Drosophila melanogaster: one gene and its partners. The protein of the gene in region 1 purifies or fractionates together with the protein of each later gene. This does not show direct contact. Each region holds a gene or a part of one and is shown in the gene's direction. Other genes may lie near its edges.

Region 1 (5,012 bases):
TCTCATTATTTTCTGGTGAAGCCATGTTTGCTTGTGGGATTCCTAAGTTAAATGCCTGAGTTTCTATAAAATCTTGGTTGGAAGCATCATTAGCTGTAGAGGGTTTAGGTGAATCAACTTTTTGTGGCGGTGCCAAGTTAAATGCCTGTGTCGCTATGAGATCTTGATTGGCTTCATTTTCTTGTGGTGCCTGCGGACGTCCTAAGTTAAACGCCTGAGTAGCCACGAAGTCTTGGTTGTTTTGCCCATTGTCTTCCTCGTCACTTTCCAACAATTTATGTCGTGGAAATCGTTGAGTGGCTATCATATCTTGATTCTTTTCCTGACTATTCGTGTCAGGAGTGGCAGTGGGGGTCTCAATCGTCGCCACAACCAGCTGTTTAACTCCGCCAAACTGCGGTGTGGCGGTATTTGTATTGTCCGCAGGACGAACGAACGGATCTGGACTGCTGGAGCCATCGCGCCTCCTATCCCCCCCCATGATCAGGTCAAATAGATCGGGTGTGCAGATATTTCTATCTACGGACGGAGCGGTCAAATCGGGAGTAATGCAGGCATCGCCACGCGGCAATATATCATCCGCTTTGGTGCTACTCAGAGCACAGCATTTGGAATTGCTAGCCGACCAGTTCAAGGCACTCATTTCCATGTCGGTGGTGTCCAGTTGATCTAAGAAGAAAGCGCACATTATTGAAAGTTATCAGTTTCAATGGATGCACATACCCCGCTTAGTATCCTGATTTTCCAGACCTTCAATTGGTGCTGTTGGCGGCGGAAGAGGCAGCAGAACATCGCAGAGTACCTGTGAGGTATCGAAGTCATCGATGGCATCCTCATTATAATCCTGGGTGCACATGCGTATAATGCTGCCCTGAGATGATTCCTCATCGCTGTCTATCGTCGGACCTGGCTTATCAACTACGGGAATAACCGGGGGTTTAAACACTGGTGGTTCAGGTGGAAGATCCGCAAGCATATCCTGCGTTTCGGGTATCATGAAGTCATCGCCCAGCGACACTCTTTGTCCGGTCGAAGGCCTTTCGCATAACACCGCTTGGGTCTCGGGTATAAATAAGCTATCTGCCGTTGTGTTGACTGATGTGTTGGCGGATGGAGGCTGTGTTTCCGGAACATCCATGCTGTCCAAGGTTGTGTTGTTTAATCCGTTCTTCAGGCATTCCCCGAATCCGCTACTGTCGTGGACCTGAACGAAGGGTAAGCATTAAGTTATGCATCCTGTAAGAATGGTATTTGGTGCCCATACCTCATCGTGATCTTCTCCAAACTCTAGCCTGGCCTCCACATTGCCAAAGCGGAGTTTCACCTTGCCGGCCACGGCGTTCTCCATGCCGATGTCCACCACGGTCTCCTCCTGGTCGTTCACAAAGATCTTGCCCACCAGGGCAGCCAGGCGCACCACACCTCGGCGCAGTATGCAGGCTGTGGCGTGGGCCAGCTCCATTGACTGCCCATTGAGGATAGGAGTTATTAAAGGGGAAATGTTTAAGTAAGGGCCAATTTACCTCATCGGCGATGCTTATTTCCAGGCCCTTCTGCCTCCCAATGCGGTAAATGGTATCCGCTTTCAGAAGAATGGCCGGCAAACCGCCAAAAAACAGGCTTACATCTGCCATCCTGGCGGCAGTTCCTTCAAAACTGAAGGACGAAAAAAAAAAACAAGACAATAAATGGAAACAACAAACGCACTGAACGGTCACACTTGAAATGGGCGCCAAAAACAGGCGATATATACGGTAGTGTTAATTACAACAGATATGCCAAAAGGCAAAATAAGACTAACAACGTATATTATTTTTAAAATTATATAGTGCCTTGTGAAGACTAGAATATCGAGCTTTAGTTTTTGTTTTGACACACTGAATAGTGATATACCGATAGTCCATTGTTTTCGATAATCCTGCATTGCCACGTGCACCTGGCAACCCTGTGCATCACCATGGCAATCGGTGGTTAGTTTCACTTTTGTTTTGAAACAACAATTATTGTACTATAAGCATACTATTAATACAGTTAACCATGAGGCATGAGTGATACCGATACGGACGACACCGATCTGCTGCTCCTGATACCACCGAACTTCTGCGCGGAGGACAAAATGAGCGCATGCGCGGCGGCAGATGCGTTGGCCATGCCCCCGCCCCCTCCCCCGGCGACCACAAGTGCAGCGTACCAGTTCCTACATCCCAGCAAGAAATCGGAGCTGAATAGCATCAATTCCCGGCTGCAGAACATCGCACTGGATGCGGAGGAGCCTCCCTCGGACATTTCCACCATATCCACGAATACTGTAAGGAACGCTGGAAGGCCAAGTAGGGAGCTCCACGGCATGGTGCACTCCACGCCGAAGAGTGGGTCCGTTGAGCCCCTCCGCCATCGACCACTGGACGACAACATTCTGCTCGAAATCGACCACTACCTAGACGACAATAATGCGCACCGTTGGCAGAGGCACGATCACCACCTGCATCACCGCAGCGACGATCATCTGAGGAACGAGCGGGCGGGGAAAGAGGGTCATCCGGGAACCTCGTCTCTGCCCAGCATGAGGCTGGCCTCATCATCCTCCGGCGCCGTTTCTGTCGAAGCAGCCAGGGTCGATCGAAGCAGCCTGAATGAGAACAAGATCATAAGTCTGAGCGAGCTCTGGGGCAAGAGCAGCTTGACCAAAACTGTACTCGACAACAACTCGCCCAACCGACCACTGTGCAGCTCTTCCCTAAAAGAGGAACAACTCAGAAGGCAGCATCTGGAGAAAATGGTGCACACACTGCAGTCGCATCTTTTGGAGTACCAGCAGCGAATCTCAGTGGCCATCGAGGTGGATCGTTCGAAGGATGCTGCTCTCACCGAGGCAGAGCAAACAGTTCAAAGTCTCAACTACGAGGTTCAGCACCTGCGGGACGCTGTCCACCGGCTGGAAGCGGACAGGGGCGAATCCCAGAGCCGGTTTGATGCACTGCAGAACGAGTTGTCGCAGGCGGTCAACTTGGCCACCAGGTTTCAGGAAAAGAATGATAAACTCGAAAGGGAGTTGGACCATTGCAGGCAAGACGCCAAGCAATGGGAAGAAAGACTGGAGCAACTGGAAATGCAACTCAACAGCAGCAAAAGAGCGGAGGAGCTGTCACATGCCGAGCTGAATAAGCTAAGGGATAAGTTTGCCAAGGTAGACTACCAACAAGAAAAGGTAATTTAAAAATAAGATTTCAACCACGGCCACTTTAACCACATTTCTTATATATAAGCTAAAAGCGCGGATAGAGGAACTGGAGAAGGAAAATAACACGCTGACCAATCAAAAGGAAATGCTGCAAGAATATCATCAGAAGCAGAAAGCAAGAGCGGATTCCTTGGAGAGCCATCGTAAATCCCTACAAGAAACTCTGGCGAACCTAACTGAAACTGAGGTTATTTAAAAATAAATACAAAAAAAAAAAGAACTCAATAATAAATGATTGTTGTTTTGCAGACCAATCTCAAGAAGAAGCTAGATATACAGCAGAAATCCCTAAAGCAATACTACCAACAGCAAATGGAAAATGTTGTGGCCAAGAAGATGCAGGAGTTCCAGGACCAACTGGACAAGAATGAGGAGCATTTAAAGAACGAAGCTCGGGAGCGTGAACGACTCATAGCCGAGCGGGCAGTAAAGCAGCTTGAAATGATCAATGAGAAAAACAACCAGGAATTGAATCTCATCCAGGAAAAGCACAACGAGGAGGTGGAGCTGTACCGCCTTCAACTAGCGAATGCCTCGAAGAAGATCGATGAAATGGATCTCAAGCTCAGCTGTTACAAAACAAAGCGGTAAGATATGAGAGCCTTATTTGTTTTCTGGTTTAAATAGAAATGGTTTTTTTTTCCATTCCAGTGCTGATATTGCGGAGAAACTGCATGGGGTAATGGAGGCCCAGTGGCAGCAGGCCCTTGCTATCCTCACCACTCCTAGTCAAAACTCCATTATCCAATCCAGTGACACTGAAGCCAGTGAATCTCCGGAGCTAAATAATGCACGCATGTATCCAGAAACGCCCAAATCGAGCAAATCGCAGCGCAGCAACAACACTGAGAAGAATAACCTGGATGTGGTGGGCAAACGGGATCCCCCCTCGCCGATGGACAAGCTGCAGGCCTACATTGAACTGCTGCTCAGCAAGTCGCCCAGTGATTTCGACAGGCTCGACGAGATCTTGGCCATGACATCCAAACAGGGTAGCAAACAAAGCAAACCAAAGAGCGGAAGTGGCAACAGTAAGCCTCCACCTTGGAAGTGCTGACAACGAGAGATGCTTTCGACAAGTAATATTCTATCTAGTAATACCTGTAGTTTTTTAAGAATGACTGCCTCTTTGAATGGCCGCTACAATGGACATTGTAGTTGTATATTTTTCTATGGAATTCTGAAAGTAAATAGTTTAGTTTTTGCAAAATATGATTGTTTATTTGATAATATCAACAATTGAAGGCAGCGTGGCATTTGTATGCAGCACGGGAAAAACAAAGGTGAAAATTTTAAATGTAATAATAATATAAAGTTTTGGTACAAAAGGTGTATTTTACAGCTCTATGAGACCTAAGCCTAGGAATCTTGTGATATATTAATTTTGTGGCTGTCGCCAGCGAATGTTGTATTTTATATCTTTTAAAAGGATTTATTCTTTGATTCAGCTGTTTCTTAGATCGTTTATGTGTCTGTCATTGATATGCTTTGAGTTGAATTATTGAGTATTTTCCCATTAACATTATTTGTAGACGATTTGAGGGAATTTCGGGGCATTTCCATAGAGCCCCTCTGATTCCCAGACTTGGATATGGGACTCTCGCGTTAGCACCACCAAATGCTGATGGGTTGAGTAGCAAATGCTGCAAGTTAAGCAGGGATTAGATTGTATTTTATTCGAATATGGAGCCACTTCTCTCTTACCTACGAATGGGCGATGTACCCGTGGTCAGCTCACTGACGAAGCTCAGGTTCCAGCTGGACCAGAAGC
Region 2 (3,324 bases), on another chromosome or scaffold:
CAGCATGGGTCCCAAACGGGGTCTGGAATAGATTGAGTAAATTAACGCTTAAGTGGTTCGGTCAATAGCAGCAACTGCTTTAGAGTAAGCTATAACTATAACTATAAACAGCTGCAGGCGGCAGTTTAATGGCCCTTCTGTTTCTAATCAAAAGCGCTCACTCACTTGACAATGCCAAAGCCGAGACTCATGATGATGACCAGCATCCTGGCCAGCGTGCGCTTCGCACAGGACACAAACTCGGCCACCAGTTCGGCGTGCTGAACTGCAACACCCTTGTTCGTCAGCGTTTGGTATTCGGCGTAGAAGAAGGCCTTCTCTAGCATTCCCAGCAGTATGACGCCACCGATCCAGAATTGAATTCTCAAAAGATCCCGCCATTGCGCGAAAGAAACAAACAGCCAAATAATTCCAAATATCACGTAAACAATGCACATGATCAGATAGAACTGTGGGAAAATAAACATATACATGATTATGTATAAACAAAGTCATTTAGAAACACACTCGACCCCTACCGGCAGGAATGGCCAATCTATGGCCGAGATGAAGCCGTGTGGGCCCAGGAACTCTATGTGCACCACGGCACTGAACTGCGCGGATGGGCCCGCCGCGATGTTAACTTCGATTTCGTAAATGCCATCCTCCTTGACGCTCGCAATTGGGTTCGTTGTGGGCTATAAGGAAACGGAAGTGGTTCAATTACTGCGTTATCTCAGTGTTCCTGCTTCATTATACATATATAAGAAAACCTGATACCGAGTAGACCATTCCATTCAATAAAATGGCACAAATGCCTGTAAATGTTTCAAGCTGGCTCTATAAACAGTATGCCCCACCTATCTAGGGAATACCCTGTTTAAAGAGAAACGATAAGCTGATAAGGAAAAAGCCGAAAATGCTTTGCTGGCCCGTGGTAATTGCTGTGCTTCTACTTATCGTTGATATATGTCGCATTTACCGAAAGTGGGTGCTTGTGCTCCAGCATTGGATGCTTTGGCTCCGGTGTTGGGATCGCTGATCCTTCGACCACCTTGTCCTTGTTTATCGCCAGGACGATGAGTCCGTTGCAGGGATATGTCCTGGTGATCTCGGTGATGACGTTATTGATGGTGGCGTTCTTCTGCAGGGTAGCATTCTGGGCGATGGCCTGCAGCTGTTTGGGGATACAAGATTGATGGGATTAAATGGTCACTGAGCCATATGGAAACGTTGTACTCACCGTGCGGTCATCAAAGATGCAGGGGTGCTCCGTCAGCCGGAACGTAATGGTCAGGTTCGATTCCACATTGGAAGTGCAGCCCTTAACTGGAACCATTGAAACAGGTGTGGAAGAAAGGGGTAAGTCGGAGGCATTCGTCACGCGTTTTCCGCCGCCTGTACTTACTCTGCGCGTAGATTTTTGTGTTGGCCAGCAGCGGACGCTGCTCCCGGATGCTGGGCAAGTCCTGTGTGGGAGAGAAGAGGACAAACCAGTTGTTACGTAGCCGGAAAAGGATTAATTCTAATTCCCCTATTTGTTTGGGGCTGTGGTGGTGGTGCACATATTTACCGTGGTCACCAGCACGTCCACCATGCCCGGATCCGATTTCCCGGCCGTGCTCGCCGGGCCAAGTAGCAAGGCCAACGCAACCACCAACAGCGTGGCCGATCCCTGCATTTCGAGTTGTGTGTGCGTACAATGGGCTTAAGTAAATACAAATATTATTTCCTCTTCTACTCGTCCGAACTTATCGGGCCTATCGTTCTTCGATAACACTTGCCGAGCCTATCTGACGCTTGAGCCAGTGTGACCATGGAGCCGGCAACAGTGTGGCTGCACGCCATCAGCTGGTGATATAACCTGAATTGGAGAATTAAAAACAGCAAAATGCTACGCAGGGTAAATAGCTGAAAATATCTATTAAATTATCTATTACAATTTCATTTTCCCACTGTGCTAGATACTGCCAAGTGTGCGGCTGGCGCTGCAGGTGCCCAAAGCAACCACAACAGCCGTGAGGAGCACCAGTGGAAGTGTTTACGAACCGGATTACCTGGAGGTGGGTCCTCAACTGAGAAGGAAGGATCTTAACCCCTTTTTAAATATTACTTGCTTTGAGCATAGTAGCATAATCTTGTAGACAGATTTCAATCAGATCAGACTAGATGAGCAATTATTTTGGTGGTCAGTAACCATTGTTCTCCGTTTGCAGTCCCTCAAGCCGAAATTCCCGCAGTACGAGAGCCTGAATGTGCAGATCAAGGGCTACGACTACCCGCAGCTGGAGAGCTACCAGAGGTTTCTGCACGGATTGGCCGAGTACCTGGACTTGGACGTCTCCGACTGCTACGCCCTCCCTCCGCAAAAGACCACGGTGCAGCGACTGCGGCCCAACTCCACGGTCATCGAATCGGAGTACAAGCTGACCACCTACGAGCGCAACCTGCAGCTGAACAATGTGGATGCGCCAGTCTATCCGCAGTTCTTGCGCCTGGCCCAGGCGGCGCTGCCCGAGGGTGTGAGCTTGCAGGTGCAGGAGTACACCGACGACTGCGAGGAGCGGCGCTACGTGCCCGACAAGGAGCTGCTCGACCTGAAGGACGAGCTGGAGCGCATGGGCGGACCCACCACCACCAGGAAGAAGTAGGCGGCGCCTCCGATTTGGCAAACATTTAATGCTTAGCTTTAATGAGTAACCTGTGTAAAGAGTATAGAGAACCTATGAGTAAAACTTTCCTATTTAAAGCTTTGCACTAACTGGGACGGCAATAGTTTAGCCGCCGTTTACAGAAGTTAATATTCTAATACAATTTCACGTGTCTCTTTTATTTTTGATCTGTCCTTTAGCTTGGTTCAACAGCGACTGACTGCCGCGCTCTCTGCAGAGTGGCGAGTCGATTAGTCGATAAGTTTCTCGATAATATTTGTATGTTAAGGATGGGTGTATGAGTGTATAAGCTTATGACTAGATTGGCTATGTATAATTAGGTATGTATGACTAAGAGTAAAGGAAGAGGGTAGAAGGAGCAGCCTACTACAATAGTTACAAACGATTGGAAGACGCAGCGCTTAACCGTTGTGTGGTGTACGCCTGGGAATTGCACTATGAATTATTAGACCACGCCGAAGTGGACCACCTTGATGGACGACGAGGAGGAGGAGGAGTTGCCGCCCTTGCTGCTGCTCTTGGGTTCTTCCTCGCGTCGTCGGATGGGCGGCTTAGTCACATCTGCGAAGAAATGACACGGTCAATGGGGCAAGGTTATTGGTGAACTCAACAAATACCCACTGGTCGTAATGGGGTTGAAATCCTTTAGATACTCGTCGTTCGGATGACAGAG
Region 3 (2,897 bases), on another chromosome or scaffold:
CAGCGTCGAGGGTATGTGGTATCCGTGGATAATCCTCCGTGGCGCGTTGCTCGTCCGGATCAGCCAGCGGGCGACCAGCCAGAGGCAGTTTTCGCGCAGCGATCTCATCGGAAAGTGGATCAGCACTTCGCTGCGTACGTCAACCAGCTGATCCGGACTCTGCTGGCTCTTGGGTACCCGCACCCGAATCGGCTGAAAGATCCTCTGCGAGCGTACGTGCATCCGTTCGCCCGTGTAGTAATCCCGGAACAGCCAGCTGTGTGTGGTGAACGTGTTCACCCGCACCTCCTCGAAGGGCTTGAGGGTAAGGTACATGTTCTCCCGCTCCCGCTCGCACACCCAGTACAGATCCAGGGTGCGATAGGTGGTGTTTGCAAACAGCACGTACACCTCCACCTTTCCCTGATCAGCGCCCACCAGCTGCTGGCCGTCGCGGTTGTTCTGCGCTATTTGGAGCGCCATCTCCAGCAGGGTGCTAAGCCGATCTGCAATGGCTGCCAAATCAATTTTCGTTGTTTTACGTTTGCACAAGCCGTGGGAATTGGATTGAATCAAATCACAACAAGCTAACAACAAGTATAGATAAAATTCACTTCTTATCAGTTACGGTAACATTTTTCCTGCTGCGTGTCACTGCAGCTGGCCACACTTTCGATGAATGTCTTATCGATAAGGGGTAAATCAGCTGATTTGCCTCCGCCTCTCGCGAAAAGTAAACAAATAAACACCAAGAAATAACAAAATATGGCATTTTGCATAGCAGTTATTGGCAAGGATGTGAGTTTTATTTTTCATTTGAATACAATTAATTGCATGACAAATTCCCCACAGAACGCCCCCCTGTACCTGACCACATCCGATATGGAGCAGGAACTGGAATTGCAATATCATGTTAACGCCGCCTTAGACGTCGTGGAGGAGAAGTGCCTGATTGGCAAGGGTGCTCCGGAGTCCAAGGAGCTGTACCTGGGACTGCTCTACTCGACAGAGAACCACAAAATGTACTTGGGTGTAGTTATGCTGGTGAATTTGCAACTGATTGGTGGTTGATTTCATTACAGATACGGCTTTGTGACCAACACTCGGGTGAAATTCATAGTGGTCATCGACTCCAGCAACGTTGCCCTTCGGGAAAACGAAGTTCGAGCAGTGGGTATCCAATCTAACTATCTAAATGAAAGCCCCAAATACCTCCTACCCTCTGTATCTTCCAGATCTTCCGAAATCTCCACTTGCTCTACACCGATGCCATCTGCAATCCCTTTTACATTCCCGGCGAATCGCTGACTTCAAAGTAAGCGGGCTTCTCCTTAAAGAATATATAAGTTGCTCTTAATACGTTACTTTTATATCTGCAGGAAGTTCGATCGCGCTGTCCAGAAACTGATGAGCGGCACTGCCTAGCTGTAGATTAATACTGAACGAATAATAAAGCGAATTATTTATCAAATGCATACGTCTTTCTAGGAGGGATGTCAAGGTGGCCTGGCCAAGTGCCCGCTCCAAGCTAGACTCAAGAGAGATACGCACCGGAGATACGCAAACCGGTCGTTGGCTGGCTAGCCGTAGCCAAATATTATGCTAATTCGACATTTTTGACAAAAATAATTCGAGAATTAATTATATCTTTACAATGTGTCTGCTAGTTGACACATAGTTAGTTAATGTCTCCGCGTCAAACTCGTCTTCCGTCTGTTTCGGGCATTATTATGGGATTCAATGCGAACTTTAACTGAACGGCAATAACGAGGCACACATAAACATGTATTTTGTCTTATCTAATGCATAATTAATGAAATCAAATCCTACGCGTCTCTAGACTTGAACTTGGGCGCCACCGGCAGAGGTAAGCTGAGCATCAGTATCATATAAAAAGCAGGCAGAAGTTCCAGTTCGATATCAGTTAGCCTTCTCAAGTCTTTCAACAATCAACATGAAGTTCTTCGTAAGTGGCTTTATCGCAAATTGATCCTTTAATGATTCTAGCTGATTTGTTATTTACAATCCTTGTAGATTGCTTTCGCCTGCCTGTTGGCCGTCGCCCTCGCCAACGAAGATGCCAATGTTCTCCGTGCCGAGCAGCAAGTGAATGTTGACGGCTTTGCTTACGCTGTTGAGCTGGACAACTCTGTCAATGTGCAACAGAAGGGTGACCTTAACGGCGAAGAGTGGGTGGTGAAGGGAAGCCAGTCGTGGACATCTCCCGAAAATGTGCCAGTGTCCATCCAATATATCGCCGATGCCAACGGTTACCAGGTGGTGTCTGCCAACCCTCCTCTGCCCACCCCACCACCAATTCCAGAGGCCATCCAGCGTTCTCTGGAGTACATCGCCGCCCACCCCCCAAGTCAATAAATAATGTTAAATAAATGTGTTGAACTTTACTTTCCTAGACTTTTAATTTCTTCCCAAAAGGACTGTCGCTTCTTAAACCGAGTAGACAAACATATATACGCATCGTATTAGCGGACAGAAACTTGTTGGTCAGGGTCTACCAGACGGATGAATTATATTAGTACGTAATATGTATGGGTCTGACAGATGAACATTGTACCCAAACGCCATGCTGCCCCTGAACTCGGGGTCGTTCAGTTTTCACTTTCGATTTAGGATCACTTAGGAGCTGTTACTTTAGGATCACTGTTACGTAATCACGTTTTTTACCGGTTTTTAAACCATATCCATATACACCGGACCTGGTTTTGCGGTTTTGAAATAGAAGTAGACTAGTTCCCATTGCATATTTCAGAATAAGAAATTCCATATATTAGACTTTATTCTATGCAGATCATATCAAAATAATGAAAAGGGGTATAGTTATTTTTTTTCTGTTTGAAGACATTTAGCAATCCCTATCTAGTCACGTGATCGCGATGGGATAATCAGGCTCTTTGTTG

Evidence for each region. Proteins that work in one complex are often made in the same cells at the same time.
Region 2: the proteins of Cnb (region 1) and mRpL48 purify together in Drosophila melanogaster (affinity purification with mass spectrometry, with the first as the bait; one large-scale study listed by BioGRID). This does not show direct contact.
Region 3: the proteins of Cnb (region 1) and Cpr47Eg purify together in Drosophila melanogaster (affinity purification with mass spectrometry, with the first as the bait; one large-scale study listed by BioGRID). This does not show direct contact.

Annotation. Positions count from the first base shown.
Region 1 is NT_037436.4:1,945,816-1,950,827, forward strand, and holds Cnb (centrobin), read left to right. Parts: upstream 1-1,749; 5' UTR 1,750-1,970; intron 1,971-2,031; 5' UTR 2,032-2,044; coding exon 2,045-3,208; intron 3,209-3,266; coding exon 3,267-3,428; intron 3,429-3,490; coding exon 3,491-3,828; intron 3,829-3,892; coding exon 3,893-4,298; 3' UTR 4,299-4,447; downstream 4,448-5,012. Other genes in the region: mu2 (mutator 2), read right to left, coding at 1-669, 724-1,204, 1,265-1,465, 1,524-1,634; mv (mauve), read right to left, coding at 4,764-4,884, 4,946-5,012.
Region 2 is NT_033779.5:1,708,656-1,711,979, forward strand, and holds mRpL48 (mitochondrial ribosomal protein L48), read left to right. Parts: upstream 1-1,806; 5' UTR 1,807-1,870; coding exon 1,871-1,882; intron 1,883-1,943; coding exon 1,944-2,042; intron 2,043-2,195; coding exon 2,196-2,630; 3' UTR 2,631-2,810; downstream 2,811-3,324. Other genes in the region: CG17660 (uncharacterized protein), read right to left, coding at 1-22, 166-449, 519-677, 962-1,156, 1,223-1,308, 1,388-1,448, 1,553-1,660; frtz (fritz), read right to left, coding at 3,097-3,212, 3,273-3,324.
Region 3 is NT_033778.4:11,277,443-11,280,339, reverse strand, and holds Cpr47Eg (cuticular protein 47Eg), read left to right. Parts: upstream 1-1,894; 5' UTR 1,895-1,933; coding exon 1,934-1,945; intron 1,946-2,013; coding exon 2,014-2,355; 3' UTR 2,356-2,383; downstream 2,384-2,897. Other genes in the region: Vhl (von Hippel-Lindau), read right to left, coding at 1-462; CG9067 (uncharacterized protein), read left to right, coding at 745-777, 832-1,001, 1,062-1,149, 1,215-1,294, 1,359-1,404. UniProt on the Drosophila melanogaster protein: Component of the larval cuticle.